Linked DNA regions of Struthio camelus. The protein of the gene in region 1 interacts with the protein of each later gene in a pairwise test. Links are inferred from orthologs where the notes say so. Each region holds a gene or a part of one and is shown in the gene's direction. Other genes may lie near its edges. The genes, in order: GOLGA2, PKP4, RITA1 and CUL5.

Region 1 (7,963 bases):
ATCATACAGAGCTGCACAAAGTAGCCAAATTTAGGTTGTACAGTCACCCTCATTCCTAACACCTGACACGGAAACATTAATGCTCTCAACAATTTTGTGACTAGGACACCGCTCGCTTTCACAGTGACTCTGCACTTAGAAATAAGCAAAAGTAATTCTCCACCTACCCGTGACTGATATCAGTGCTGCTACGTTGTCTCCATTAAGAGTCCTCAGAAAAGCATCTGAATAATAGATGTTACAGTTGTCTCAGAATATAGTTTTAAGGATTTGTTCCCAGGTTTTTTTATAGGCTCTTAAAGGGAATTGCTGAGAAACGTGATAGCTGCTTTATTCAGACTAGACAATTTAATACAACTTCACATTTTGCTATTTACTACAGAAGTGATGCAAAATCTCTAGATACTAGATCAGAGAGGTACAAAAATGCAGAGAACCCAAACTTCCCAAATTTGGTCATAAAAACAAAACAAAAAAAACCACAGACAAACAAAACTCCCCCACACACTTCCAACCTTCTTCCCTCCCTACTTTTGAGGGGTTTTCTTTTCAAGCAGCTATTACATTGTATATTCTTCTACCCTCATTTCCTCTATCCATTCATTAAAAGCTGCTTCCACCTGCAGATTAGCATATCCAAATAGTCTCATGATGCTCTAGAGAAGTAAAAGCTCAATGGGAAGAGACTCAGCATCAACCTTGAATTATAACCCTTCCTATGGAAAAAAAAACAAAAAAAGTGTTGATCAGGAAGTAGACGAATTGAAATTATACAAAATCCCACATCCCCAACGTCCGTTTTCCACAAACAGGAAACGGGTGATAACTTTCATGTTCCAAAGCTTCTTAGAAAAAAGGCTGTTAACATATGCTCTCTTGAAAGGCTACACACTTCCAAGGCCACCTTTTATCATTTTTAAATAGGTATGACACCAAAACCCAACGGCCCAGTAATAGGCATCTTTGCAGGACACTGTAGTCTTCAGGTTCAATACTAGTCGCTAAGCTCCAGATCATATTCAGGGTATAGCTGCTTTGTGGTAACCCCTCGAATAACAGCTAGAAAAGAAACACACACCATTACTTTCATTAAACGAACAGTAGGTTAGCCACAAGAGTTGCATTTTGCTTTCACTAACCCCCTAACTATCCTAGAACCTCCCATAGCTAAGAAAACAATCAAAAATTCTGTAGCTATGCCTCCTGCTTGCCCCATTTTTTTAAACGTGAAGAAATGGTAAAAGAAAGTAATAAGATTAATCAAATTTTGATAACCCGTAACACATAATAAAACACCTGCAAGTGTCAATTATTTCATATGCTGCTCAGGATATGTCCAGTTCCCAAAAGATTCCAAAGAAATAATGACAGAATCATTTGTGCTTGCACAAGTGATTTTAGTAAGAAGCCTAGAATTGCAGAATCTTTAAAATAAGCTACGCCTTCACAGCGTAGCAGCTTCTCTTTCTATCTAGATGAAAAAATTTACTAAGAAGCTGTTCATCTCCTTCCTTACCCAGCTTGCCTAACAGCATCTGTCCAGCATCTTTAATATCATTATACTCATGGAGCAGGGAGATGTGTTTCTCCAGTTCTTCCAGACTGTAGCCTCTGTAACAATAAATCCAGGAAGGTTAAAAAAAAAAAAAAAAAAAAAAAATCACGACACAGTGTGACAGCATGACTGCTGCTGCTACATAGTGAGCAAATTAAAGGTCTGTTTACCCTTGAGGCTTAAAAGAAACAGCAGCTTTTGGAATTGAATTCATTGTTCTATGATTTCCCAATCCATTTTAGGCACTATACACATTATTTTAGAAGATACCACTCACTACGTATAACCCACAGAGGTTCCCCCGCTTAAACAAACACACAACACAACCCCCCCCCCCCAAAAAAAAAAACCACACACAGCAATTTTTTCTCAAACCAGTCTGAAAAATCCCAAAATAGTTTGAGAAAACCCTGGTGATCCCAAAATGTGTCATAAGGAATCACACTAAAACAGCTGCACTATCCTGTATGCGGCACCCATTAAGCCAAAATGTTCTGCAGGGCATTTGCTTGTCAGGAAAACACCCCTGCTTCTTGAACACAAAGGTCAATACTTCCAACAGCTCACCTCAGACACAGAACAAGTGAGCACCACATCCACATGGAACAAGGGAAACAGTTTAATCTGAACAGGTCAAAAGTCATGATCTCCATTTTCAATTCCATATGAGCAAGCAATTTTGGTAACACATCCTGATGGTTCAAATTAGTCATTCCCAGTTTACAGTAACATCTGAGGTTAAGTCAAAAGTCTTCTCGTCTCAGCTGTAATATCGCTTTCTTTGCTTTACCAAATAAACAGGAAAGAATTCCCTGTTGTCTTTAACTGGTCCCATAATTCAAACAATATTGTAATGAGCATTACATAACAATATGATAAAACAACCAATGTAACAGGTCAGCTTTTAGTTCTAACTCCTGGGCCACGTTTAGTTTTAAAAGTAAAAATACTGAGGCCTCACACTGAACATTGAGCTTGCCAAGGACATACTCAGACAAAAATTGTGCAATTTCCTGGTCTAGAGCGAGGTCTTTCTGTTTCAGCTCTTCAATTTCATACTGCAGGGCTTCTTCACTGGCTCCATTAGGTTGGCAGGACCTTGGAGATGGGATCTGCAGAGCACAGAACACATTTAACATTCCACTCACTCAGCATGGGATAAGATACTATTGTGCCAGAAGGAACTGATCAGAAGATACATTAAGCATCACTGGGCAAACAAAAGGGAAAAAAAAGGGAGGGGGCTAGACTCAAGTAAAGTATTTCTCAATATATTTAATGTCAGCCGGCTCTATTTTATAATAAATCTTATTCTACAGCATTTTGTACTTTTACAGTGCTAAGGGAAAGATTACAATCTGGCTTTTCAAACAAGTTCCCAGGATGATGCAGTGTTGCATACTGACACAACTCCAGGCTGCCAGTTACTCAAGAGATGCCGTTGAGCAGTTTAGATGTCGTTTACCCTGATAAAGCACTAAGGCAACAGGCAATTTCACTCTCCAGGAAAAAGAGCCATTGCTACGCCAGTGTGAATCATCACAAACACTGGGACCAACTGCTGTTTCAGCTGAGACTTCAGTGACTACAACAGGCCACGGGAACTGAACTGTCACCGCAGAAGTCATCTCTCTGAGGCAGACATGAAGCCGTACGGACAGAACGGGCAGGAAGGTTGCTCTGCTGCCCCTGGAGCTGAGGGAGGGCACTGCACGCTGCCGAGTTTCTTCAGACGGGGAGAAGAGCCCGCGTAAGGAAAAGCAGCTCCCGGCAACCCGCGCCTTACCCCGCTCTCCGAGAGAGGAAAGGCGCCGGCAGGAGGCGGCAGGCCCCAGCGGGGACGTCACCGCCGAGGGGGGACCACCACCGCCGAGGGGGGGCCGCCGGGCGGCCGCGCCTCCCCCCGCAACAGCACGGGGACTCACCGGCGACTTGAAACCGGCTGTGCCGCTCCGCCGGGCGCCACCGGGGGTCCTGGGCAAAGCAGAGGGAGGCGCCGCGTCAGCGGCCGGGCAACCGGGCCGGGCCGGAGCCCCGGGGGAGAGGGAGAGGGGACCCGAGAGGCGGGCAGGGCCAGGAACCAGCTCCTACCTCTTCGGGACAGGCCGGAGCGGCGGGCAGCTCCCGCTGCGCCCCGAGCCCGGCGGGGACCCCCCCGGCGGCGGCGGCGGCTGCTCCGCCAGGGCCACCGCCTCACGCCAGCACCGCGCGGACCCCGCCGCCGCGGGGCGCGCCGGGAGCCGTAGTCGCGCCGCCGCGGGGCGCGCCGGGAGCTGTAGTCCCGCGGGGGTGGGACCCGGTCCCCGAGGCTGCGGACGGGCGCTGAGGAATGCATCTTCCCGTCTGAAACTACAGGTGAAATCGGCGGCGGGGCAGAACATAACCAGGCAAATAAGCCCAGCCGGGAGCTCTTCCGTTGGCACCGAGTGTTTCTGAAAACGCCTTCGAGCCTTCCAGGTGCCACAGCCTTGTTTCCGCGCCGCCAGCGGCAGGTTTCCCCGAGGCCGGGTGCCGGCGGTCCCTCGGGGACCTGCCTCCAGCCCCTACTTTCCTAGGCAGAAAGCCGCCGCCGCCGGTGCCACCAGCGGCAGCGCGCGTCGTGCCCGGCTGGGCCCCGCGAGGAGGGACGCGCTGGCTGGGAGGCCACCACCGCTCCAAGGTGCGCTTCGAGACCTCCCGCCTGCCAACCCGCCGCTGGATATTCCCCCCGCACCCCGAGCAGGCCGAGGTCAGGTAGGACGCCAACAGCAGCAGCGGGAAGCAGGATCAAACTCAGAAGAGTCAGATATAAACCGTCAGGCTTGGCAACCTGGGCCGCGTCCAGCCGCCCCACCTGCGCGTCCGTCCCTAGCCATCATCTGCTTCACCTCCTCCGAGAAGGCAGAGAAAATAAATCGCCTCCTCCGAGAAGCCGGGGAGAATGAGACAATTCCTGTCTTGCTCCTTGGTTGGGTGCAGAGTTTCCTTCCCTGCTGGCCAAAGGCAGACGTCCCTGTGCAGCGCCAAGCGCTGGCAACGGGCCTTTTACGTTCCCTGGCCGAGCGCGCAGGCCAAATCCCGCTGTTGCCGACTCGGAAGGTCAAAGGATGCGGGAACGGGACTACAAACCAGCAAAACACAACCCCCTTTACTGGCCAAACACAACCCCCTTTACTGGCCGTAACTGCGGTGGGGGGGGGGGGGGATCAGGCACCGAAGCGATGCAGGCAGGGCAGCCGGCTCTGTAGGACAGGGCCTAGAGAGGGGGAGGGACGCTTGCCCCGCTGAGACCGGCCCTTCTCCGGCGGCCCGACTGCCGCAGGCGGCCCGTTGGGCGGCTCGGGGCCGGGGCCGCCCTGCGGCGGGGGCCGGGCCGGGCGCGATGGCGGCGGCGGCGGGGCCGGGGCGGAGCCTGGCGGCCGCCTGCGCCGCTCGCCCTGCGCCGGCTGACGTGGCCCGGGCCCGGCTCGGACATGGCGGACGGCAGCAGGCAGAGCAAGCTGGCCGCGGCCAAGAAGAAGGTGCGGGGCCGGCGTGGAGGGAGGGAGGCGGCGCGGGGAGCGGAGCGGGGCGGCGGGGCGCCGGCCGGGCTCGTCTGCGCGCTGCCCCGCGCTGCCCGTTCGCGGCGGCCGCGGAGGGGGCTGAGGCCCGGCCCGGCCCGGCCCGGCTCGGCTCGGCCCCCGGGTGCGGCGGGGCCGGCGGCAGCGGGGCGCGCTGCCATTTTGAGCCCCGCGGCGCGGCGGGTCTGGCCTGGCCTGGCCCGGCCCCGGGCCTCGGGCCCCGCGGCCGCTGCCTGCCGCCCTGGGGAGAAGCGGGTGGTTTGCGTGAGTGCTGGGGGCTCGCTCCCGCCGGGGGTTTCGCTGTCTGAAAGACACCGGCACTGAAAGACTGAGGGAAAGGCTTAGAAAGGTGCAGTTTAGGGCTCACCTGTCTAGCTTTTCCTAGGGAAAATGGAAACTGTTTTAAATCCGGCCGCGGAGAGCACAGTCAAGCCCGTTTTTATAAACGGAGCCGTTGGTTTGCTCCATGATGTCGTTTGTCCCCCCAGTTCGGAGCTGCAGCGTCTGTGTCGGCGTGTTGTCTGTCGGGGAGGCCTGTCCTTTTCCTTCTCAAACTCTTTGGCAGAAGGGCAGAGCTTGCTCTCAGGCGCTGCTTTTTCACTTACTATTCAGGATTAATTGCCTTTTATTAATTTCACCTTATTGCTCTTGGTTATAACCCTAAAAGTCATCAAAGTTATTTATTTCCTTTCAGTTGCAGTAAAGGATGGCACGTTCTTTCCTTCCCATAGCCAAATTTCATTGGTTGCATAGCAAAGCTGCGCGTTTGCAACCCTGAGTCTCTGGCCCCAAACCCATCGCACCAGCTCTCAATTTAGCCTTCTCGACTTGTTCTAACTTTTTTCAGAGAAACTCTTCAAAGACAGTTGCTCATGTCTCTATGCCTGATCTCCCTTTTTACCCCGTGATCTTTTTATTCTTTTCATTATTTGTTGACCTTGTAGCTGTAGAAGGCACGTTCCATTTGTGGACTTCAGATTCTTCTTTTTTTCCCCCCTCCCCCCCCCCAGCTGAAGGAATATCAGCAGAAGAATAGCCCTGGAGCAACTGCGGGAGCCAAGAAAAAAAGAAAAACTAAAGAAGGAAGTAGACCTGAGACTCCCACAAATGATGACCAACAGTCTCCAGAGAACGTAAGTATTCCATTCTTTCTCCCAAATCATTAGCCACCTTGTTGTTCTTTGGTTTCCCATACGACCTGACTACAGGAGGAGGAGGAGGGTTTTGCCGGTGTAACATATGAATGGCTGAGATGCTGGTATTACCAGTTTATGAAGTGAGCTACAATGGTTAGCGACTAAAATCCCTTGAAGGCGCACGCTAGCGTCAGGGTTTATGGCGAAGCAGTGTTTGATCGTACAGGGGTACAGTGCAACCCTGGGTATGTCCAGAGCTGTTGTTTTGAGGCGTATCCTCCTAACGAGCTGGAGGGTGCCAGCTTCTGTGGCTACCTTTGATTGGTATTTTCTCTCTGTCCTTTTCTGAGCCATTTCTCTTTCCACTTTTCTTTCGCCTCCTTTAGATTCAGAACATTCTGAAGGTGCTGGTGTCAGACCTTAACCGCTCCAATGGGGTAGCCATACCCTCATTGGACAAGAGGAAGGTGAGGCAGTGCTCCGCGTCCCTCTCGGTGACTTGCTGTCCCTACTGCATGCTTCCAGTTCTGTTCAAACCGACTCTGATTTTCGGGTGGAGTCTCGTTCTGACGCATCTGCTGTCAGTTGCTTGAGTTTTGTTGCTGTTTTCATTAACATGGAGCTATTTCTTAACATGCCTTTCCGTTGTTTGTGAGAGTGTGTTTCCTTCTGGTTTGTGTCAAACTTAACAAGTGAAGAAGTGAACCTTGTCAAGAACTTTTTCTTGGGACAGTCAAGCTTTGGGGAATATCAGGAATTTGGTGTGAGGCAATGAACAATGATGAGTGACTGCCTTTACTATATGATGAGTTTCCAAGAAGTTGTAGCAAAGGGGCGTAAAAACCTGTCTGGCACTAGGAAAAGGTAGTGTTCTCTCAGTCTCTATTTCTGCTGTTTTGGGTATCACTGCTTTCTTTCCCAGTGCCTTGTTTCTGAGGGGCATGTTTCTGCTCATCTCTAGTCAAGGAGCTGCCATGAGTAAGCTATGTAGTTATTCCAGCCAAGCCATTTTATGACGGGTGATGAAACTTGCACAGGTGATGCACACTCTGGCAAGTACTATGATTTTAAATATGTTTAGGCAGGAGGTCAGATATTTCAAGTCAAGCATTTATGGCCTTCAGGGTCTTCTTGTTCCCTGGCTCCTGGAGATGAAAGGGAAGGAAATACTTCAGTGAGCAATAAAAATGTGTTCAGGAGCGAACTTACATCAGCCTTTTATTTGTAGGTAATCAGTTTACTGGAAGCTAGAATTGTGATAGGAAAGTCAAAGTTTGTAGCCCAGAATTTTCTTCCAATTTTGTTACACTAAAGCTCTGCTTCCCAGTGTCACTTGGTTGCACCATCATTTTGACTGCATACCTTTCCACCCTCATTTTCAAGTCTAGTTGTCACAAAATAAACCATTTATTATATTTACTGCTTATCCACTTCTCTCCAGCAATAAATTGAGCTATCGTAATCACCAGGAGCGTTAGGTGGATGCAGGTGAGGATGGCTGTTCTGGGGCTGCTGCTGAGATGGCACTTGGTCTTGAAATGAAGGCCTGACTGTGTCTACGGTTTGTTCTGTTCGGAAAATGGAGAACTTACTACTTCTGTTCATCCTTGTTTTCCAAATTTTTTTTTTCCCTCAGCTTTCTCAGCTTGGAGAAATATGTGAAATATGTTTTGATCTGATTGGCTATTACAAACGTTCTTTTATCTTGGAATTTGTGGATTATTGTGTATGTA
Region 2 (6,996 bases), on another chromosome or scaffold:
AAAATAGATTTAAGTGTGCCAGTGTTGATTGCCAGACATATCTAAATCATAACTGTGACCATTTAATTGTTCTATTATCTGTAGTTATCAAAAAGCCTGAAAAAATAGTTTCCTTGAACTTGGAAGGGGGCAAAGCATCCCAGTATCGTATTTAGAAGAAGAAAGTATTAATAATCATAAATATTGTTTGATATTTGGTAAGAAGATAACAGTAACTTTTAAGTACCATCTTTTATTAGTATTTTGACTTTCCTGCAGTGATTTAATATTTCAGCTGTTCTCACTTTTTTTCCTTAGTCTTTGTTACAACCAAGCACAGGCAGGTCCAACAGACATTTTTGCAGAGCTTTGGTTGCTCTCCTCTACCTTTTCAATTGATCCAGCTTTGAAATGTCCAGCCCAAAGCTGGATATACTTCTTCAGCTAAGGAGATTGGGAAGATTGTGCATTTCTTGTAGAGGGAAATGTAAAATAAGCAGGAGTGGTAAATGAGGTCTCTTTCTTTGTCACAGAAAAGCATACTTTTGCAACTTCATGTTGCTTTCCACAGAGGTGCTGCCTTGCTGGTTGTCTTCTGTATTGCATTTGTTCCTTTGTGGTAGCATTTGTAGCCCGGATGAGCTTGGATATAGGCAAGGCAGGATTTGTACCTTGAGCTAACAGGAAATCAGTGAGCATTGCTGGGATGAACAGACAAGCTTTTGGGCATGTAAACTCTTTTTAAGGCCTAAAATAGGAGTAGCAATTTTCAAAGTTCAGTATGAGTTAGGACCAGTTGCTTATGAGCTTGGCATCTATTTTTAGATCTTTTCTCCTATTGTTCATGACCTCTGAATTCTGAACCTATCACTAAAGGTATCCATAATCCCCCAACCCCCAGCTGTCCTCTACAAAATGTTAATTGCCTTGCCTCTCGTCTGTGCTATCACTGGTAACTATGGCTGGAGAACGCTAAGCTCATGGCAGAACCCCTCCCGATGCCTCCTTTCAATGCAAGTGAACTACTGCTTTGAGTACAGCTTTCTAACAGTTATTCCTTTCTCCCCCTCCCTTTTCCCCCCTGGGATTTCTCACCTGTACTGTGTAGGTAACTTTTTAAGGCAGGACACAGCAGGAGATTGGTAGTGTCTAGTTTGGGACCACTTCAGTGATACAGCTTACCCCACATCCCTCAAACATTGCACTGGCAAAACGGGGGGAGCAAATTGCAGTCCAGAGGTCCAGAGAGAACTCGTTAGCTGTCGTTTAAGCATTTGTTCTTATCTATAAATATAATAATTTGGAGATTGTTTGTATAATGCGTTTTTTTCAACATACTACATGACAAAATTGAGGTGCATTTTTATAAATGCATATAAAGTAGGTTTGGTTTTATAATGCTACCAGTTAAAAAAATATCTGCATCTACAGGTAGTGTGTATTGTATCTAGCAATAACGGATAGAGTAGTGCCGCAGTAACAATTTTAAAGGACTGAGAGTAAATATAAGTAGAGATTGAAAAGCTCCTGCAGTCATTGTTCTGCTTGGTAGTATTTTTATCTTTGCTTACAGTTATTCTCAATCAAACTCCGTTTGCTTGTTTATAAGAGTTTTCAGATGGGAGTATCAGTTTGGAGCTTGTATTACGAGTATCTGGTAAAAGCATACATTCTGCTTAGCATACATTCACTACAGTTACTCAGCTGTTACAGTTTTTAAATTATTTTGTCATGTGATATTCATTGTGAATGTCATCATACCCTGAGTTAACTGAGAATACTCTAACACCAAACTAAGGATTAATACTTCTAAAGGATAAATAATAGATATGAATGTCTTTGTCACTTGATCGTCTGGAAAATTAAAGTCTTTGTGATGCTTGCTATACTTTTCTCTCCCTCTCAGTCCGTACTGTGATAAGACCAAACATTTATTGCTATAAATGTGCTTACTAGTCTACAGATTTGTTTTTGAACACTGTGCTCCAATGAGGCTTTTTTTTTTAATGGCAGTGAATTAAAATATGTAGTCAGAAGAGAGAAACACAGATTTGGAATGGTACAAAGGAAAAGATTCATATTTGGGGGCTGTCAGTTATGTATCCTTTATGGCACTTGAGGCTTGTGGTACTTCATGCGTTTGTGAAGCATGAATGCTCTCCAGACACCCTTCAGATGACAAAGATCCTTCTTTTTTAAGGCGAGCTACAAACAGTGCCTCAGGCCTTGGAGGTTATGATCATAAGTATGCGCTTATTCAAAGTGGCCTTCTTGCTATACCTGTCTGATCTCTTCTTTTGAATGGTTAGTTTGAAAGCTATAAAATTACTAATCCTGTGAGCATGTTACAACTGGATTTTTGTGGATGTAGAATCTTGCCTGCTCACTAGAGTGGAGTAAAAGTATGTTGCCATAGGCCAAAAAAAACGCCTGCCGCCTCTTATGAGCTGTAACAAAAAATAGAAATAAATTTACCCAAAGACTAGGGTAATTGTTTTTAACATTTTAAAAAGCATATAGCACCAGAAGCCTTTTGAACTTCAATGTGCTATTATATATACATACCCACATGTATATACACATATATATTAAAAAAAAATTAAAAGGAAAAGGAATGAGGAGGAGACTAGTAAGAGAGTTAAATGCATCTCCCATATTTCTCAAGCAGTGCATCTGTTACATTTAGATCATTTTTTTGGTGCTGAGGAACTCAGCTTGCGCCACTGTGCAGTCGTTTTTTATGCTGTCGTTATGGAAGTCCATTCCTTCCCTGTTTTCATCAAATAATTCAGTCCAGGAACATGTTCTTTGTTTTACACTCATCTTACAATAACACTTGATTCCCAGCAGCTTGTATACCACAGTAAATTTCCAGAAAGCACTATATGGTATGGTATGTATAAAACTTCTGCACTAATGATCTCCATAAAGAAAAGTTGTATTTTAATGGAATGGTTAGCCTATAGTGTGATATTTGTAGTACCTTGGCCCTTACTACATCAGGAAATTTTAAAACTATTTTTCATGTAAATGTTTGAATCATCTTTCACATAATCCATTTCTAAATGCTTGTGTTTTCTTTGCAAGTGAATAAATTGTCATCTGCTGTCTTTTCATCTAAACAAATAACAATTGGCTGATAAATGTAATATGGAATTTATTTTAGTTCAATTATGCAGTTGCACCAAGCTTGAGAATATGAATCACTGTCTAGTTTGTAGGCAAGCAACACTGGATGCAACTCTCATAGCAGGTTGGAGCTAATAGGAGCTACTCATAACTAGAAGTGTACTGACATGTCTGTGAACTAACTCATAAAGTCAGATAAATTTTAATTAGGTTTTCATCTAAAAACTGCACAAATGTAGTAAGTCTTGTTTTGTTTTCAACTTTTACATATGCTGTGAAGGATGAAAACAGAAGAATCTTTGACCAAGCACTGAAACGTGCCTTGTTGCTTAAGCATATGAATTTAAATGAACAACTTAATTGTATAATAAATAACACATCAATGTCCCTGCAAAAGTTAGGTTTAGTTTATTGGAGCTTTCTTCTGCTGTACTAATGAGTACAGCTCTGCTTTTCAGTGATTTGCTTTTGTTGCTTGAGTTAATCTTGTGGCTAGATAAATACGAGGATTTTTAGTGATGAGACATTGCTCATTGTTTTTCTCATGTTTCTCTTATTCAGTATATACAGTCTATCCTATCCTGGTTGACAGTGTTCATAAGAGTTATATTACCTCTTTAGCTGCAACTAATTGGGGGCTTCTGCTACCTGAGAAAACTGCTTCAGGTCAGCCCTGTGAGACTCCAAAACAGGGAACTCAGGGAAGGAGAAAATTTGGTGAACCGTCTCTGTAAGTGGAGCAAGAGGAATATGAAAGAATGCAAGCTGTGGACCATTCTTGCTGTCTGGAAGACAGCAAGAAAGGTCTGAGTTCTCCTGCCCACACCACAAGGAGAGAAATTACTAAACTCTGGGGAGACTGTTGAATATCACTGAGAGTGTAACAGGAGCAGCAATGAAAGGTGAGGAATAGAAACTAGCAAGAACAAGGAGAATTAAAGCATTATTTCTTACACCCAGTTTAGTGATTTGTCTTATTTTTCCCTTACTCCTCCATTGTATGTTCTCATTCCTTCCTTCCATCAGTGATTGTATGGATGCAAGATGCTTTGGTTCAGAAAATTATCCTCCTCCTTCCCTCTCCCAAAACAACCAACCAACCAGCCAACCAAAAGAACAAAAAAAAAGTGAGCATAGTGTCAAATGAGTTCACTGAACTTTTTGCTTTGCAGCTGTTTGACCTTTTGATCAGACACAAGAGGTTATCACCCATTTTTGCAGCCTACAACTTCACTGTGGGCTTAGAGGACCCATGGCAGTGTCAGAACTGGCAAACTAGGCGGTGGTGGCTCTGCCCCACCATCTCTGCTAGGGTTGGCAAAAACCACGCTGCTTTGCTGCAGAATGGGAGATCTGGGAGTTTTTACTCCCCAAGTGGAGGAGGGCTAGGAGTTGCTGCTGTGGTAGTGGAGGCAATAGGTATCCTCTGAACAGTGTAAGTGCTGTGTAAACCAGGTTTATTTCAGCAAACGTACGCAGTTGCCAAAAGAGGTGGTCTCTGCCATAAACTGGTTGGTTTGAAAACTAACTCTCTTTTGTGGCTTGGTGTGCTCTGATCCAACTTACTGTGATTTCATGAAACCATTTGAGTGAGTCTCAGTAGTAGAGAGGAGTAGAAAGCCACTTTTTTCGAATTAGTATGGAGTATTTCAGACTACAGACTTCAAATTGAAAGGCCTTACTTTCCTTTTCCTGCACACTTGCATCTAGCTTGAAAATGTAAATGCAGGCCAATATAGAGCTAGATTGTCACTGCTTCTGTTCTTTTATCTTCTAGTTTTAAATAGAGAATTTCAAAATTCAGAATTGGTGCTAAGAATTTTCTCAGATATATACTATAATATGAAGTGTTTAACAATTTTCTGGAAAATGATTTAAACACTTTACAAATATATTGATTATTTTGATTCAAGACTGATATCTACAGAAAATACTGGCAAATATTTACTGTTCTCCTCAAGTCTGCTGATAATCTCTCCTCAAAGTTTAAAAGCATCTCAGGTTATGCTTTTGAGCTATACTTAAAAAAAACAAACAAACAAAAAAACCCTACATCATTCACAGATCTGCAACATCCACCAAAAGACCTACCTCGATACAGTTAAATCCTTCCGTTCCTGTTCATTCTTTGCTATAGTGGAGAACTTAAAATCTGTAAACTCTTCTCTCAAATCCTGTCATTTTAAGAACCAGTTATGAGTCAGGTATGCTGAAATGGGTTTTACAAAGCAGTAGAACAGTAAAATATGTTTCTTGAAATCTCTCTGGCCATAATGAGAACTTGGTATTTCTAATGAGCAGACACGATCTGAGAATTAACGGAGCTGGAATACAGGAATGCATGCATCCCTGTATGTTGTGTATAGTTTTTCAGAGATTATCTTGCATAAACTTGGATTTTGTACAATGAAAAGAATGACTTCTTTCCATCCGAATTTCCTTTTATACTGGATGTTTTTGTGCTTATTTTGAAGCCATTGCAATGAAGACTCTTTAGTGGATCAATCTTGAAGCCAAATGCATTTCCTGTTATCCCACTATCTGAAATAAGATTATTATGGACAAATATTCTGTGGGCTGCATTAACACAGAGTTATTACTTTCTGTTGTATTTAAGTAAAGTTGAACAAAGTCATACAAACACTGCAATGTGAATGAAGTCGTATAGAAGCAATGCAGTCTATTTCCCATCCTATTTCTAGCTATGGAATTGGGAAAAAGATAAGTAAATTGTGCTGGAACTAACTAAATTCCATTACTCTTCCTTCCCCGCTTTGTTTTAATTCTGCATAATATATTAATGTTCCTTGTTTGGCCTTTTTGTTTTACGAGTCTTGCTCATTATCACTGATCTTCGTTCATCCTCTGGGTAGCAATGCTGTCAGGTTGTTCAGTTATACAGGCCTTCATTTTATATATTAAAAAAAAAAAACCCAAAAAACAAAAAAGACTGTAGGATGACTGTAAGGAGGATGTTATAAGAACAAATTTAATTCTTACTCGAGCCTGTTTAGGAAAACGTGTATCTGCCTATTAAGGCATGAATAGCTGAGTTCATATGGGGTCTATCCAGTAATTCTAAACACCCGTCTTAAATTCTGTTTCTTCAGACAGGCAGAAATCTAAGTTAAAGTAGACCTTTTTCTGACCAGCAAGAAATAAAAATTCGAATTTGTTTAGGGTTTTTGATGCTATTTATTTATTTATTTATTTGATCAGGCATGGGCACTGGAAGAACAAAATATTTGCCAATTGAAATACGATAATGAAATGTTTCAGCTCTAGTACTTCTAGAGAAAATGAATTTCATTGCTGAAGTCAAGTGTGACAACTTCAGTAAAATGAAGAGGGAGGATGTCAGCTGTACTTCAGAATAAAGATACACGTCTTTGAGTGTTACTCAAATATGAAGAGTGACAAAGCAAAAAATCAAAGATTCTTGGAAGATGAGCAGAATTGCTATCTCACCCAGAAATGTTTTGTTTCCTGCCAGTGTTTAAAATTAGGCGGCACTGCCTTGAGAGTGTCAGTGGTGTTATAGACTCTGCGCAGTCAAAGGGGAATATATAGGCGTTATAAATAACTTACTTGGGTGAAAGAAGGCTATAACAATTACAAGGCAGTTGATTCTCCTGGAATTCAAGACAGAATTATTTCTGTTAGGTAAGTATCTCCGTGTCAAGTGAAAAGAGTGTAGCCTACTTTAACTATTAATGAACACTTAAATCCGTGCAGGGCCTGTGTAATACTGAAAGGGAACAGAAGGAGGTTTCGAAGTTTAGGTCTGCGAATGCACAAGCTAGAATGAAGTCCGGTGTGTCAGGAAGTGTTTCACTGCCTGCTGGGCTGTTAATTTGGGCTCTCTTGAACGTTTCCAGTAGACTGCTA
Region 3 (7,585 bases), on another chromosome or scaffold:
CACATCCAGGCGGATCAGCATCGGCTCCGTGAGCCCTGTAGGACATGGGTCACACATGGCACGTGGTCACACACTGCGATGTGCTGCTGGGACCAGCCCTATCCCTTGGCTTGGGGATACCCACCTGGCCCAGCTTCGACCCAACTCGGGTTCCCCAGTCCTCAATCTGTGGATGGACTCATGTGCGTCACGTCCCTGTCCCCAACCTCCCAGTGGGGAACTGCCAGCTGGGTAGGGCCACTGATTCTAACAGCTAATTTTAACCTGGCTGCCCCCAGCCCCTCCAGTCACTGTCCTCCCCATGGTCCTCACCAGCTCGAGCAAACTCCACGAGCAGCTTAGGCAGTGTGGCCGAGAAGAGGACCGTCTGATGGCTCTCAGGGAGCCGAGCGATGATCTCCTGGAGCTGCTCTGCAAAGCCCATCTCGAACAGCCTGCAGGACAGGGAACGCGGGACATCAGAGCGCTGGCATCTCCTGCCATGCCCAGCCCTGCCTCCTGGCACCTGCCAGCACCACCCAGCCAAGGCACCTCATTCCTTCCGCACACCTCCTGCCCTCCGCGTCTCCCACCCCCTGCAAGGGCTCGTTGCTCACTCCAAACATGGGGCACACAGCTCCCCCGAGTCCACAGTCCAGCCACTTTCATCCCAGCGAGCACGTTACTGGAAAGGCAGTGCCCAGCAGGCCCCGCTCTGCCCCGGCACTGGCCCTCGCTGACCTGTCGGCCTCGTCGAACACCACGTACTCCACACTCTGCAGCTTCAGATTCATTTCCACCGCCACGTGCATCAGGCGCCCCGGGGTGGCGATGATTCTGCAAGGAACAGAGACCGCAATGCTCGGCCGGTCCGTACCTCAGCCATGAGACGAGCGTGGGGAAGCAGGATGGGACACCTCCCTCCCAGGTGCCAGAGCACAAGTCTGGCTCAAAGACAACCAGACAGAAACTCCCTGGTTCCATGCAAGGAACACAGGAAGACACTCTGAAGAAAGCCTAGGACATGGCCATGGGATGTGATTGTAAACGCCAGAGACATCTCTAGTGACCTCCTTCATGATGCCAATCCCCGGGTGGCACAGCCAGAAGGGCAGAATTCAGCCTGTGTTTGGATGGCACCAGGAGCAGGGCCAGCTAGCTCGCAGGGCTCGAGTCAGGACCGCTGGGGCCACACCAGGCCATCAGCAGCAGGGTAGTGGGTAACCCAAGGGACATCATGGGGGTCCCAGGGAGGCAGCACCCTTTCCAGGTCCAGCAGCTGGTCCCAGGATCACCCCAACACGGTGCGCGTCCAGCGTTTGTCAGCACACGTTTCCTCGCCACATCAGCAGGGAAGCGCAGACCCTTCCAGATACCCCAGAGACTCACATGTCGGGGTTCTCGTGCAGCGCAGCAAACTGGTCCTCCATCCTGCGAGAGGGGAGAGAGCCTGAGACGGGGCCAGGCGGCAGAGGGGCAGCTCAGCCCGCCTGCCTTCGCAAGGCCTCCCCGGGCAAGCCACTGGGGACTGCAGAGCTGGGGGCCAGCCCAGGGCATGGGGCGAAGGCCAGATCCTTCCAGGCCACACTTTGCATGCTCGAGGCTGCGGAGAGGGACCCACTGCACAGGAGAGCTCCTCAGCCCTGAGATCTCACGCGTGAGCAAGTGAGTAGCTCTTTTGATGGCCAGCTGAAACTTCAGACCATCTAGCCCAGGAACCCTGCTCCAGATGCCACTGTGATGCCCAGTCCCAACATCTGGCAGATTTTTGCAGCCCTCAGCACATTTTAGGGAAGCTGGGACAGGCCAAGTGCCTGCAGAAAGCCTCGGGAGGGCTGCCTGGGCTTTAGGGGAAGGGCAGAAACACTGGTAGGGGCACTGGGGATGACTTACTTGTCTCCTCCCAGGACAAGGGCTGTCTTCAAGCCTGTGAACTTGCCCAACTGCAGGGTAAGGGAGAAACACGGGAGAATTACAAGCAGATTCGGCCTCAAAACAAATCCCTAGGCTGTTCCCTTCCAATGCCAGCAAACAGCCCTGCTGCCAAGGCTGGGGACGCAGCAGAGCAGGCAGGTGATGAGGGCACCAACGCAACGTGTTTTCCTTCTGCCTGCTCTTCCCTCCTCCCTTCGTGGATTAGCTTGAACCTCTAAGAAAGGGGTTGGCCATGCACGGCAGCCACAAGTCATATCCCGGCACTGCACAGATCCCCCCGGCAAAGGACAGCGCTTGATCATCATCAGCAGCACTAAGAGATAAAGATGTCCTTCACCCTTTGGTGATAATTCAACATCATCTGCTGCAGCATGGAGCCCCACAGGTTAATGGTACCGCTCGAGCTCTTGCCTCCCCTGCCCTCCATCCCTCCATCCCAGCTCAGCCAGCACCACCTCCGTCCCGGTACCTCCTTGGTGAACTTCATGGTCTGCAGGGCCAGCTCGCGGGTGGGCGAGAGGACAAGGGCTCGGGCCCCCGTCTGGGCACTGTGGGCCTTCAGCTTCTCAAACATGGGGATGAGGAAACAGGCCGTCTTCCCGCTGCCCGTCCGTGCCATCGCCACCACGTCCTTGCCGTTGAGGATCACCGGGATGGTCTGCAAGACACAGCCCAGCGGCGCTGCCCTCACCACCCAGCACCGCCGCCTGGAGCGGGCACCCCACGTGGGCAGCACCCATCGCCCCGGAGGCCCTCGGTCCAGTGCCCCGTGCCCCGAGGGGGCTCACCTTCCTCTGGATGGGTGTGGGCACCTTGTAGCCCTTCTTCATGATCCCCTTGAAGACAGGGTAGCTCAGGCCTGGAGAAGACAGGGGTTAGCAGGTGACGGAGCAACACAAGCAGGACAGGGCCCCGTGGAGCAGACTCGGCACGGCCCCGTTTCCAAGGGTCCCCCACCCCCAGCCCCCAACACGTACCCATGGACTGGAAGCCTCCGGATTTCTTCTTCTTCTTGTTCTGGGCCCGTACCATGGCCTGGGTGTCCAGCTCAGCAGTGGCCTCCTCGGCAGCGGGGAAGGCCGGCAGCGCGCACCCGGGGGCCTGCGGAGGGAACGGCACCGTGGGGAGGGGCGCGGGCGGCCAGGCGCCCCAACAGCATGGGGGGACAGCAGCTCTGGGGACGCTGGCGCTGGGGATGCTGGCACTGGGGACAGCAGGTATACTGGGCACCAGGGACCCCGGGGACACGGGGTCACCGAGGACATAGGGGACTGGGGATATGGGCAACTGGGGTCACTGGGCACATGGGGGACTGGTGACATGGGGGAGTGGGGTCACTGGGCACACAGGGGATTGGGGACACTGGGCACACGGGAGACTAGGGACATGGGGGATTGGGGTCACCGGGGACATGGGGCACACAGGGGACTGGGCACACAGGGCATATGAGGGATTGGGGACACGGTGGACTGGGGACATGGGGGATTGGGGTCACCGGGGACACGGGGGGCTGGGGACATGGGGGACTGGGGACATGGGGGACTGGGGACACCGAGGACATGGGGGAGTGGGGACATGGGGGAGTGGGGTCACCGGGGACACGGGGGACTGGGGACATGGGGGACTGGGGTCACTGAGGACATGGGGGACTGGGGACACGGGGGACTGGGGACACGGGGGGCTGGGGACATGGGGGGCTGGGGTCACTGGGCACAGAGGGAACTGGGGATATGGGGGACTGGGGTCACCGAGGACACGGGGGACTGGGGACATGGGGGATTGGGGACATGGGGCACGGGGCACATGGGGGATTGGGGACATGGGGCACTGGGCACACGTGGCACATGGGGGATTGGGGACATGGGGGATTGGGGACATGGGGCACATGGGGGATTGGGGACATGGGGGAGTGGGGACATGGGGCACGGGGCACATGGGGGAGTGGGGACATGGGGCACTGGGCACACGGGGCACATGGGGGATTGGGGACATGGGGGAGTGGGGACATGGGGCACGGGGCACACGTGGCACATGGGGGATTGGGGACATGGGGGATTGGGGACATGGGGCACATGGGGGATTGGGGACATGGGGGAGTGGGGACATGGGGCACGGGGCACATGGGGGAGTGGGGACATGGGGCACTGGGCACACGGGGCACATGGGGGATTGGGGACATGGGGGAGTGGGGACATGGGGCACTGGGCACACGTGGCACATGGGGGATTGGGGACATGGGGGAGTGGGGACATGGGGCACTGAGGTCACTGGACACACGGGAGACTGGAGAGATGGGGGACTGGGGTCACCGAGGACACGGGGGACTGGGCACATGGGGGAGTGGGGACATGGGGCACTGGGGTCACTGGACACAGGGGGGACTGGGGAGATGGGGGACCCTGGGGACCCTGGGGACATGGGGGACTGGGGTCACTGAGCACACGGGACCCCGGGCAGACGGGGCACCGGGGACCGCAGGCCCCCTGGGACCAGGCGCACCGACCCCCCCCGTCCCCCTACCGGCGGCGCCCGGCGCTGCTCCCCGGGGCCGGGCCGCTCCCGCTGGCGGCGGGCGCGCGGCGGCGCCATGTCGACGGCGGCGGCGGCGGCGGAAGCACGCGGCGAGGCCCCGCCCCGGCGGCAGCACGTGGGCGGCGGGGGCGGGGCGGAAGGGGCGGGGCTCGCGCGGCCCCGCGCCCGGGCCAGGTGGGGGCGGGGGGGTCCGGGGAGGGGCAGAGGGATTGAGGGGGATGTGGGGGGGGAGTGTGGGGGGCCAGGGGGTGGGGGGATGCGGGGGGCAGTTTGGGGGGGCAGGGGGATTTGGGGGATGTGGGGTGGGCAGAGGGTTGGAGGGGGCTATGGGGGCAGTTTAGGGGGCAAGGGAGATTTGGGGGGATGTGGGGGGACAGTTTGGGGTGGGCAGGGGGATTTGGGGCATGTAGGGTGGCAGTTTGGGATGGGCAGGGGGTTTGGGGGGATGTGATGTGGCACTTTGAGATGGTGGGGGGATGTGGGGATGTGGGGTGGCAGTTTGGGGGGCAGGGGAGATTTGGGGGGATGTGGGGCGACAATATGAGGTGATCAGGGGGATTTGGGGGATGTGGGGTGACAGTTTTGGGGGGGCAGGGGAGATTTGGGGGGATGTAGGGTGACAATATGAGGTGATCGGGGGATTTGGGGGATGTGGGGTGGCAGTTTGGGGGGAATAGGGGATTTGGGGGATGTGGGGCGACAATATGAGGTGATCAGGGGGATTTGGGGGATGTGGGCTGGCAGTTTGGGGGGAATAGGGGATTTGGGAGATGTGGGGTGACAATATGAGGTGATCAGGGGGATTTGGGGGATGTGGGGTGGCAGTTTTGGGGGGGATAGGGGATTTGGGAGATGTGGGGTGACAATATGAGGTGATCAGGGGGATTTGGGGGATGTGGGGTGGCAGTTTGGGGGGCAGGGGAGATTTGGGGGGATGTGGGGTGGCAGTTTGGGGGGCAGGGGGGATTTGGGGGATGTGAGGTGGCATTTTGGGGAGCGGGGGGCAGTGACGGGGGCGAGTGGGGGCAGGGCTGATGCGGGGCAGGGCTGCAGCGAGCTGGTGGCAGGGGCAGCCGGGGCCGAGGGCCGGGCCGGCGCGGGCAGGGCCCCGATGCCCCCCCGCCAGCGAGGCCCTTCTCGGCAGCCCCCGGGGATCTCCTTTCCCTCATCCCTCTAATCCGCTGTCTTGCCCCGATGGCCTGCAGTCGCGTGACCGCTCGCCGATGCCCTCAGCCGGACGCCGCCCCGCCGGCCATGAACGCGGCCGTCGCCAGCAGCCCGGCTCCTCGGCTGCAGCCCCGGAGCCGCTGCAGGGGGAAGGCCCGGCCGTCCTTCGTGGACGAGACGCTGTTCGGCAGCCCCGGCAGGGCTCGGCCGGCGCCGCCGGACTTCGCGCCTCCCTGGGCGGACGAGGCCGGCCCCGCCAGGCCCTTGGTGTGGAGCCCGCCCGCGGCCGGGGCCAGGTGGAAAGCGGAGGCCGCCGCACCCGCCGCCTGCACGCCGCAGGGCACCCCCAGGAAAAGGAACAAGTACAGGTGAGTGGCCTCTTTCCTCTCCCGCTGGAAACCCTGCGGCACCTACGGCTGGGACTGGCGGGGGTGAGGGAGCCCGTCCGCGTCCCTGCGCCGGCCTTCAGAGCGGCTCCCGGGAACGCGGGGCAGGAGATGGTCCGGCTGTGTACCCTGACTCGCTATCTCCGTGTATGTCGAGTACTGCTGCAGTTTTCCCCTCTGCAAGCTGTCCGGAGAGCCTCTGATGCCCAGGCATCCCAGATTTTCCCTTTTTCCCTGATGTTTCCTCCTATATAGAGGAGTTTTCCCCAGAGGAGGGGATTTTCTGAAGTGTTTTAGGCATCAGTAGACTCGTGTTGCTGAGATGCAGTCCCAGAGAGCCCGCTGGGCTAGTAAACCTGGTGCCCCTTTCTGTAACCAGCAGCTCAGGAAAAGCAATACAGCAAACCCTATCTGTCCGCTTTTCTCCAGTCCAAATGATCAGGAGCCTGTTTACAGCCCAGCTGGCCCTAAGCGGCCCTTGGGAGGGGCTGGAGTGGGGTTTAGCCTCAGCAGCTGATCCAGAGCAAGGAGCAAAGATTTGCCCCCTTTGGATTCCACGTGGCAGTTAGGCCTCTGCTGCTGTCTTTTCCCACCTTAATATGAACATGCTTTTCTCTGCTTTTTTCCCTGCAAAGGTTGAAAAGTCACACTCCATCCTATTGCGATGAGTCCCTGTTTGGCACCAAGCCTGAGGATCCGTCCTGGGCAGCTTCTTGGATGAAGAGAGAAGATGTAGCCAAACTTCGTCCACTGCTCTGGAGCCCGTCATCCGCCCCCCGAAACCAGTCAAGCCTTTCCTCCCGCTCCAAGGAGACGCCCTTGAGGGCTGTCCACCCACGAGCCTCAGCATCGCCAGCGCTAGCAAACCTTGGCACAGATCATAAGGGCGAGTCTTACATCTGGAAACGGCCTGAGAGCAATTCGGACTCTGAAGGCCGGAGTGCTCCCAACAGAGGACGTTCTCAGTCTCTCACTCGGCTGAACGCCTCTCCGGATAGCCTCCGACTGGCTTCAGGCAACCCCAAGACAGAAAAGCATAAAAATCAGTGCCCCTCAACAGCCCCTGCAACACCCCGAGGTCCTCTGATGAGGGTTCGGTCTAAGAGCGTGTCTGCACCTTGTTTTGCCAGGAACTCCAAGGCAGTGGGTATCTGCAAACCCAGGCCTCCCTGGAAGTAAAATGAACGTCCCTTTGTATGTAAATGCACCCCTAACCTACCCACGACAGGGGTCTGACACCCATTGAGCAAACAAGGGAAGGAGCTGTCAGGGAGCAGCGAGAAGGGGACTGCTCCACGAGGGAGGACGAGCCAGGAGCTGAGAGTGACCACAGCATCAACGCGGCAGTGAGTGACCTCCCTGAGCGGGGTACAGTCCCATGGCACCCAAGCAGGACAGCCGTGGCAGTAATAACAGCTTTCATTGCCTGTCCAGGGATCATCAGATGAGGTGAGGTAATGAGTCAGGTTGCTTCCGTCCAGGACGTCCAGTCAGGACAGCCAGGAGACAGGACTACCGACAGCATAGGTGCAGGGCCCAGCCAGGAGACAGGACCGGACACAGGTACACCTACAGTGTAGCCCAGA
Region 4 (7,008 bases), on another chromosome or scaffold:
GAACATATCTAGCTTGATCGGAGAGGTGTCCAAGATTGACTAATCACCCATCAAATGTCTTTTTCCATCACGGACTAAGTAAAAATCACAAGAAACTATACACATCTTATTCATTATATGTGTGCCTTGGGGTGTTAGATGAGAACGTAACAGTGCATATTTATATCTGATGCAACTCATTCAAAGTCAACATATTTGCCCCTGGAATCAATTCACTCCAAGATGCCTAGGATATATATTTGTATATGCACAATATTCATTTCACTGATCGTCTAGAGCTTAATGAGATGGCATGTGCAAATCACTGTGAATCCAGGAATAACTCTGGGATTAAGTGTTTTTCACTCTGTCTTTTATGATCCATGCCAAACTTATAAAACTGTAGTCCAATGTAGTACCGTATACTAATTAATTAATATTTTCATTAGTGTCAGAATTCAATAATAATCCATTTGCAATAGAATTAAAGCAAATTAGACGAAATTATGTAACTCTTTGTACTTTCCGTGTGCCCTGAAGTGGTGCTAAAATACCACAAAACCTTGAGGCTCAAAGATGTCTTTACTTTCCAGGAAAAATAACGTACAGATTTTTAGAAGAATCTTACAGTTACTATGTAAGCCATGCAAAATGAAATGGACGTTATTTTTAATATCAGTAAAATGTACGACCGTTTCCTAGTTTCATGGCTTCTCAGCTGTTCAAATCCTCTTTATTCCTCCGCTGTCACTACTCACAGCTTTGGCATCAGAGCGTATTTAAATAGGAGGCACAAACGCTTGTCCTCAGGACTTTCCTTGCTGATTGTTTCCGGCCAACCGCGTAACTGTTACAGCAATGCTTACAGGATTTCTGGGAATACTTAGACTAGACAAGACCATGGTGGGCGCTCAGATCCTGGGGTGTCCTGTGTACCGCTACATTTCTGTGGTAGGTGTGCACAAAAACGGCAAAGAGATCCCTCAGTGAGATGGATTAAAAGGTGGATTAAAGAATTCTTAGCAAATGTATTGATATTTTACTTGGTAAAGGATAGTGTATCTTGCGTCCAGGGTTTAAGCAATAAATGTTAGAGACCAAAGAGAGACCTAAGTAGGTCCCAAATCTCTGAATGACAAGGTATGACATCTTCCTGCAACTGTCTGACGCTGGCCCCCATTATAGAGAATTCCAGATGATATTGACTTCAGTTTGGGCTTCATCCAACATGATGTTACTCAGTCGTGACCCAAGAGCTGAATCCACTAGGAAAATGAGGGAAGTAGGCGCTGATTAATGCAGGACTGAGATTTGTTCATTATGAGCTTGGTCTCACACCATCTGCTGCATCAGCTTTGTCTGGGTGAAAACCTTTCTGAGGAAGATGTTCAGGCCAGCTTTCAGGGAACATTTGTCAACCCTATGGGCTATAAGCTCAGTGGCACCTATGCGTAGTTATTAGATATTATCCTCACCTAGGTTTCTTTGCTTGTTAAAAAGAGACCACTTTCATATGTAGAAGATTCTTCTTTTTTAATCTGATTTGAGCTGAATTTTTAGAGAAAATACACTTTTTTTTGTAGAGTGGGAGTATTAAATAGAGTAGAATAGGAATAGATGTTTGTATGTTGATCCTACTACCTCTTCCTCTGTGGATACATGTTACAGATTTCTGTTTTCATCAGCAACCAGGAACAGTCAGTTCTTCACTTAAAGGCTCAGAGCTAGCCGTGGAGATCCAAGCTGTTTGCTGAGTAATTGTGAGCGTTTGGAAAGGATGAAGCAATGGTCATTCTTCTCAAGCATCAGGTCAAAGCTGAGACAGTCATGTGACATCATCTAAAAATACGGTGGTGATGGAATAGAAACTCTTCTCTCACCTCCCCCCTCAAATTAACAATGTGGGAGAAATAATGTTTTTACATGTATTTGCATGTGTTTCACTGTGTGAGTACTGAATAATAAAAGCTATGTTGGAAAGGTAAATGTATATCAGTCGCTATCGTTTTCTGTTTTTAAATTAGAGGCTTTAGAAAAAATGGGCCAATTTGGACATAAGCAGAGGTTGTACACTTTTAAAATTGCTTTATGTGCTTATTTTACACTGTATTTAAACACTAAATCTTCACAGCTACAACCTGAGGACATTGAATCACTAGTTATATTGTCTTCTATAAATCATCAGCCTTCGATTAGCAGGAAGAAGACTTGAAAACTCATTTCTCTTTTCTCTAATTTGATCTATAAGGACTTAAATCCTCCATATTATGAAATAGATACAGAAAGTATGGTATATAATACCATGCAATCTATATTGTGTAGTTCTATACTATATATACAACTGTGCAACTGTATGCATTACATACACAGTGAATACTGTATAATTGGTCATGATATATATACATAGTATAGACTATGCAATGTATATGCAACAACAAAGGAAAATTTTAAAGTCCAATTGAAGCATTCAAAACCTGGAAGGTTTGTAAAAACGGGTAACTGTTCAATACCTCCTCAACACTTCTTAGTTAAGAGAACACCTTACTAAGCCTTAAAACATGTTAAATTAATAAGGCTGCAGGCCCTGTTTAGTCGACGTTATCAAACCTTCTGTGGAGCACAGAATTTCTGAATTTTGTCTGACAGCTTTTCTACTGAGCTAACAGTTTAGGATGTCTGTGTTTTACAACATGAATTTCTCTTCAAATCCTCAGTTTCTCTTCTCTTCATCTTATGCCCCAGACAAGACTGAGAGAGCACTATTGTCACCATTTGCAAACGAGGTGTTGACTCATTAGGAGATCAAAGCTGTTAAAAGCTCCGAGAGAGGCTTAGGGCTTGAAGTCTCCGGCCATACCCGAAACACCTTTTGTTCAGCACCTTCTTCTCAATAACCCCAGTGGCTGTGGTGAGTACTTAGTGTTTTGTCAGGCACACCACTGGCCCTCCAGACGGACAGCCGTGATCCGTGTTCTTCCTGGTGGCTGAGAAAAAAACGCTTTCGATGGGCTTGCTTTGACAGAGTCCCAGACAGACCAGGTCCCCGGAGCGGCATCCAGCTGACTTCATCTCAGGACAAGTCTGTCTCTTGCCACCTCTCTTGTCCCCTGCGCCCCTTCCAACTTCTTTAGCAAACCAGGTGGAGAACAGACAAAACCTCCTTCTCGCAGGGCGATGACTCATTCCTTGCCCGCTCTAAATCCGCGCAAAGAACGGATTGGAAGCGCCATGGAAAACGGCGTGGTCGTTAGCGGAGACGAGCACGCAGCGTGCCCAAGAAGGGGCCAGATTAAAGCGGAATGGATGACGTTAATGCTCAGGTTTCCTAACCTGTAAGAGAAGCTCGCTGGACTTTTTTTTTTTTTTTTTTCTTGGAGACACACTTCGGACCAAAGCAAAATGTTTTAATAAAAAGGTACAATTCAGTTTCCTCTCACTGAAAACGTTTCCCCATCTCCCGCCCAAAACGTGCCTAAAACCAAACACTTCTTACTAGACAGAAAACTCGCGTTTTCACTCAGGGCGGTCAAAGGAGCGCAGGCTTAGAGGGGGGCTTACACGTAGGGACGGGACCCCGCCTCATAGAGAGGGGGGGGGTCCCCGTTCCCCCAGGAAGGACGGGCGGGGGGGTCCCCGTTCCCCCACGAAGGACGGGGGGTGGGGCAAGGCCGGGCTGCCTGGGCCGGGCCGCGCCGGGCGGCCTCCCCGCGGCGGGACGCTAGGGGGCGCCGTCGCCGGAGCTCGCCGGCCCGGGTGTCCGCGCTTGGCGGCGGGCCGGCTCCTCGGCGCCGCGCATCATGTGGGCCAGCCCCTTCCATGGAGCCGGGGTCGCCGCCGCTGAGCGTCTGCTGGGCGGACGCCGCCATGAGGCTCTGAGGGGCGGCTGCGCGCGGGGGAGCGAGCCGGCCGCGCGGCGGAGCGCGCCCAGCCTCGCGCCGGCCTCGCCGCGGGAGGGCGGGCGGGGAGCGCAGCGCAGCGCAGCGCTGCGGGCGGCGCCGCTGCCGCGGGTCCGGCCGGGCGGGCGGGCGGCCCGGCGCCATGTAAAGCGGCAGCGGCCCGGGGGAGCCGAGCCGAGCGTGGGGAGAGGAGCCGGAGGCGGCGGCGGCCGCGGGGCCCCGCGGGGGGAACATGGCGACGTCTAATCTCCTGAAGGTGAGGGCGGGCCGCGCCGGCCGCTGCCGGAGGGGCAGGCGGGGGCCGGGCGCCCGGGGCGGCCCCGCGGGGCCTGCGGGCCGCCGGGGCTGGGGCGAGCGGGGGGCGGCGGGGCCGGGCGCGGGCCGCTCGCCTCGGCCACCCCGCGGCCTCTGGGCTGCTAGCGGGCCGCCCGCCCTTCCCAAACCTGCGCCGCTGCGAAACAACGTTGCGCCGTGCTGTTAGGCCGGGCGCGGTGCTGGCTCTCTTGTTTAGATTTTTCTGCAACCCTGGATGTGCAGAAAACGAATTTTAAGTTGAGCCAGGGGTTGAAAAACGCCGCTGCGGGGAGCAGGTGTTGTGACTTGGGGGGGCCCTCTTTTGTTAACGGCAATTTTTCTGCAGAGAAAAACTCTCCCAGGCCTTTCAGTTGCGTCGAGCAGCTTTACTCGCATAGCGAGGGGTTTCCAGGCGCTTTGCCCATGTTTGAGGACAGATGTCAATCATCCTAACCTGTTGCAAATTTTAGGGGGAGTTTTTGCTGTGACAGCCCAGTATTTGCGTCCAGGACTGTCTGTCCAAATTTTGGTGGCGTGCGTATAGATCAGGCTGTATGTGGCCTTTGAGGCTGTGCCAGCACGTGGAAAACGGGCCTACTTAAAGCAGCTGTTACTAATGCCTCCAGTAAGTGTTTCTAGATCCTCAGTGTAGTTGTGGTGAAAGGCTTGTGAAAGATTGCTAGCTTTGTTTAACTTTATCGGCTAGCAGTTAAAATATATGTAAAATAAATATCTGTGTTCAGCGTCGTGTGTTGTATTCAGGTATGGTTCTGGAAAAGTGCTTCTTACATTTCAGCAAGCTGACCTATTTCAGGTGTGTGGATTTGTCCTGAAACTGTGGGTTATATTACTCTAAGACACTCAGTTTGCAGAAATGAGAAATAATTGATAGCCTTGTTTCTTCCTCGTGTCCAAAGAGAGAGGTTTTCTGTCATAAAGACAGAGCTTTAAAAAAAAAAAAGTTTTTCTTGAAATTGAAATGTAACGGAAATTAGTTCTTTTTCATTTCTCTTAATTCTTTTTCTTCCTGTGAAAATAAGCAGTTAGCTTTTTAAACTATGTAAGGTGTTAATCAAAGTCTAACTTGGAAGAATCCACACATTCTGGCAAAAAGCATAATGCCCCACAAGAGTTTCTGGAACAAAATGTTGGGGTTTTTTTGTGGAAGAGTATTGCTTTAGAGTAGGGTTCAAACAGTTTATCTACTTGATATTTAGTCCATTGCTTTGCAGTATGTGTAAGGGTTTCTAGGAAGGCTGAGAGGCGCGTTGATGAGAACGTGGTTGTGTAGCCCTCAGCAGCTAGAAGGCCTGTGAGATTTATCAGCATTCTGCTTCACCTCTTCTGAAAACTACTAGGTGTGCAGCAAGTGAAAATACAGTCAAAGTTCTTGACTCTGTGAGATGGTTCCTAATGACTTGAAGCCCTTTTGTTTGCTAGTGACAGCTTCACCACTGGCCTTTGAATCATTAATATTTTATGTTGACAAAAAGTATGTTTCAGGGAAAATGCTACAGGGAGATACTTAGAGTAGGCCTTTCTGGTGACTTGGGAGCTAACTTAGTAAGTTTCCTAAAGATAATAAAGTATGAGTTCTACATTACAAAAGAGAGCAATTAGACAGTGATTTCACTTTGTTTATAATGACAAAATAAACCAGTGAGAGAGTTGGAACTGGATGAGGGTTTTTGTTCCACAGTTCTGACACTCAGTGTGCTCCCGGAGAAGCAAACCGTTGATTGATTGAATGTCAGTGCTGTTGCCAGTGCCTCGCACTAGGGGGGAGCAATATCCCCTAGTCGGTAAAAATCCGTGGGGTAAGAAAGGAGAGATGTTAAAATCTTGAGGGAGGTCTGTATTTTTCCAAATTAGCCTGTATGCTAATGTAAGCCAGGTTGAGGCAGGTTCTATTTTTTGCTAGGATAAACAGGAACTAAGAGTTTTCTCTGGGTTTCCCCCATCCTCTCTCGACCTTCTACATAGTTGAGAAAATGAAGTGGAATATTCCTTTCCTATTCTAGTAATGGGTACTGGCTGAAGTGAAATCTGACTGGCTGCCCTTGTTTTAGAGGGCATCATTTAAACTCCACTAGTGCATGGTTTTTCTTAAGTGTAAAATGTGCTTGATTTTTAGGGAGAAGCATATTCTTAGACTTCCTTCTTTAAATGCAAAATTAGTATGACTAATCATATGTTGACTCTTGATGAGATGCAACAAATTTCAGTGTGATCAAAATATTAAACTACTTAGGAAGAGCTAGCCATTAAATGGGCAAGCTAGTTTATACTCTACCTATAGCAGGACTACTGTCCCATGTTAAGGCTGTGACTTTTCTGTAGGCTGTGGCTACAGCTCTGTGGCTGAGTCTTTGCTAGATTCGTTCCTTAGTACTTTTTCTTTCAACATACTTGTGGTCCTGGCTCTTTTAAAGTGGAGTACTTTGTTTCAGGGGATGTGTTGGACTTGTAACCTGTTCATTTTGCAGTGACAAAATAGTCTAAACCAATTCACTCATGTGACGTGAAGATGCACGTGTTTTCCTGCGGTTCCTGAGGCGCAGAACAGCTCAGTTTACTGCAGCATGAAGAAAACTTGTAGCTGTATGTATGCTAGCACATCCTGGCATTTCTCTGCAGCCTTACTGGAGGTGCTGGCAAATTCAAGAGTTGGCCCTTGCAGTCACAGGACTGGAGATTGAGCCTGGTATTAGGAGGGAAGAAACAAAACAAGCAGCAGATTTTCTGTAGGCTTGAGTGAAATGAGAACCACAGTTTACCTTTCCCTTTGTTTTAACTATTTTTCTTGATTTCATGCCTTTGTCACTGACAACTGGAAGCA

What was found.
Region 2: the proteins of GOLGA2 (region 1) and PKP4 interact in binary tests that used the Homo sapiens proteins (3 or more experiments, as listed by UniProt). The two-hybrid records come from large-scale screens. The link is inferred for Struthio camelus from reciprocal best matches to the Homo sapiens genes GOLGA2 and PKP4.
Region 3: the proteins of GOLGA2 (region 1) and RITA1 interact in binary tests that used the Homo sapiens proteins (3 or more experiments, as listed by UniProt). The two-hybrid records come from large-scale screens. The link is inferred for Struthio camelus from reciprocal best matches to the Homo sapiens genes GOLGA2 and RITA1.
Region 4: the proteins of GOLGA2 (region 1) and CUL5 interact in binary tests that used the Homo sapiens proteins (3 or more experiments, as listed by UniProt). The two-hybrid records come from large-scale screens. The link is inferred for Struthio camelus from reciprocal best matches to the Homo sapiens genes GOLGA2 and CUL5.

The regions. Positions count from the first base shown.
Region 1 is NC_090961.1:7,531,757-7,539,719, reverse strand, and holds the start of GOLGA2 (golgin subfamily A member 2), read left to right. Parts: upstream 1-4,961; 5' UTR 4,962-5,007; coding exon 5,008-5,055; intron 5,056-6,104; coding exon 6,105-6,227; intron 6,228-6,616; coding exon 6,617-6,697; intron 6,698-7,963. Other genes in the region: DNA repair protein SWI5 homolog, read right to left, coding at 995-1,059, 1,517-1,611, 2,546-2,667, 3,481-3,529, 3,647-3,936. UniProt on the Homo sapiens protein: Peripheral membrane component of the cis-Golgi stack that acts as a membrane skeleton that maintains the structure of the Golgi apparatus, and as a vesicle thether that facilitates vesicle fusion to the Golgi membrane.
Region 2 is NC_090947.1:46,343,094-46,350,089, forward strand, and holds the start of PKP4 (plakophilin-4), read left to right. Parts: upstream 1-3,988; 5' UTR 3,989-4,003; coding exon 4,004-4,010; intron 4,011-6,996. UniProt on the Homo sapiens protein: Plays a role as a regulator of Rho activity during cytokinesis. May play a role in junctional plaques.
Region 3 is NC_090958.1:7,134,025-7,141,609, reverse strand, and holds the start of RITA1 (RBPJ-interacting and tubulin-associated protein 1), read left to right. Parts: upstream 1-4,573; 5' UTR 4,574-4,620; intron 4,621-5,651; 5' UTR 5,652-5,700; coding exon 5,701-5,981; intron 5,982-6,634; coding exon 6,635-7,178; 3' UTR 7,179-7,585. Other genes in the region: ATP-dependent RNA helicase DDX54, read right to left, coding at 1-35, 313-434, 721-816, 1,369-1,410, 1,873-1,922, 2,384-2,572, 2,703-2,773, 2,892-3,015 and 1 more. UniProt on the Homo sapiens protein: Tubulin-binding protein that acts as a negative regulator of Notch signaling pathway.
Region 4 is NC_090942.1:205,700,971-205,707,978, reverse strand, and holds the start of CUL5 (cullin-5), read left to right. Parts: upstream 1-4,007; 5' UTR 4,008-4,107; coding exon 4,108-4,131; intron 4,132-7,008. UniProt on the Homo sapiens protein: Core component of multiple cullin-5-RING E3 ubiquitin-protein ligase complexes (ECS complexes, also named CRL5 complexes), which mediate the ubiquitination and subsequent proteasomal degradation of target proteins.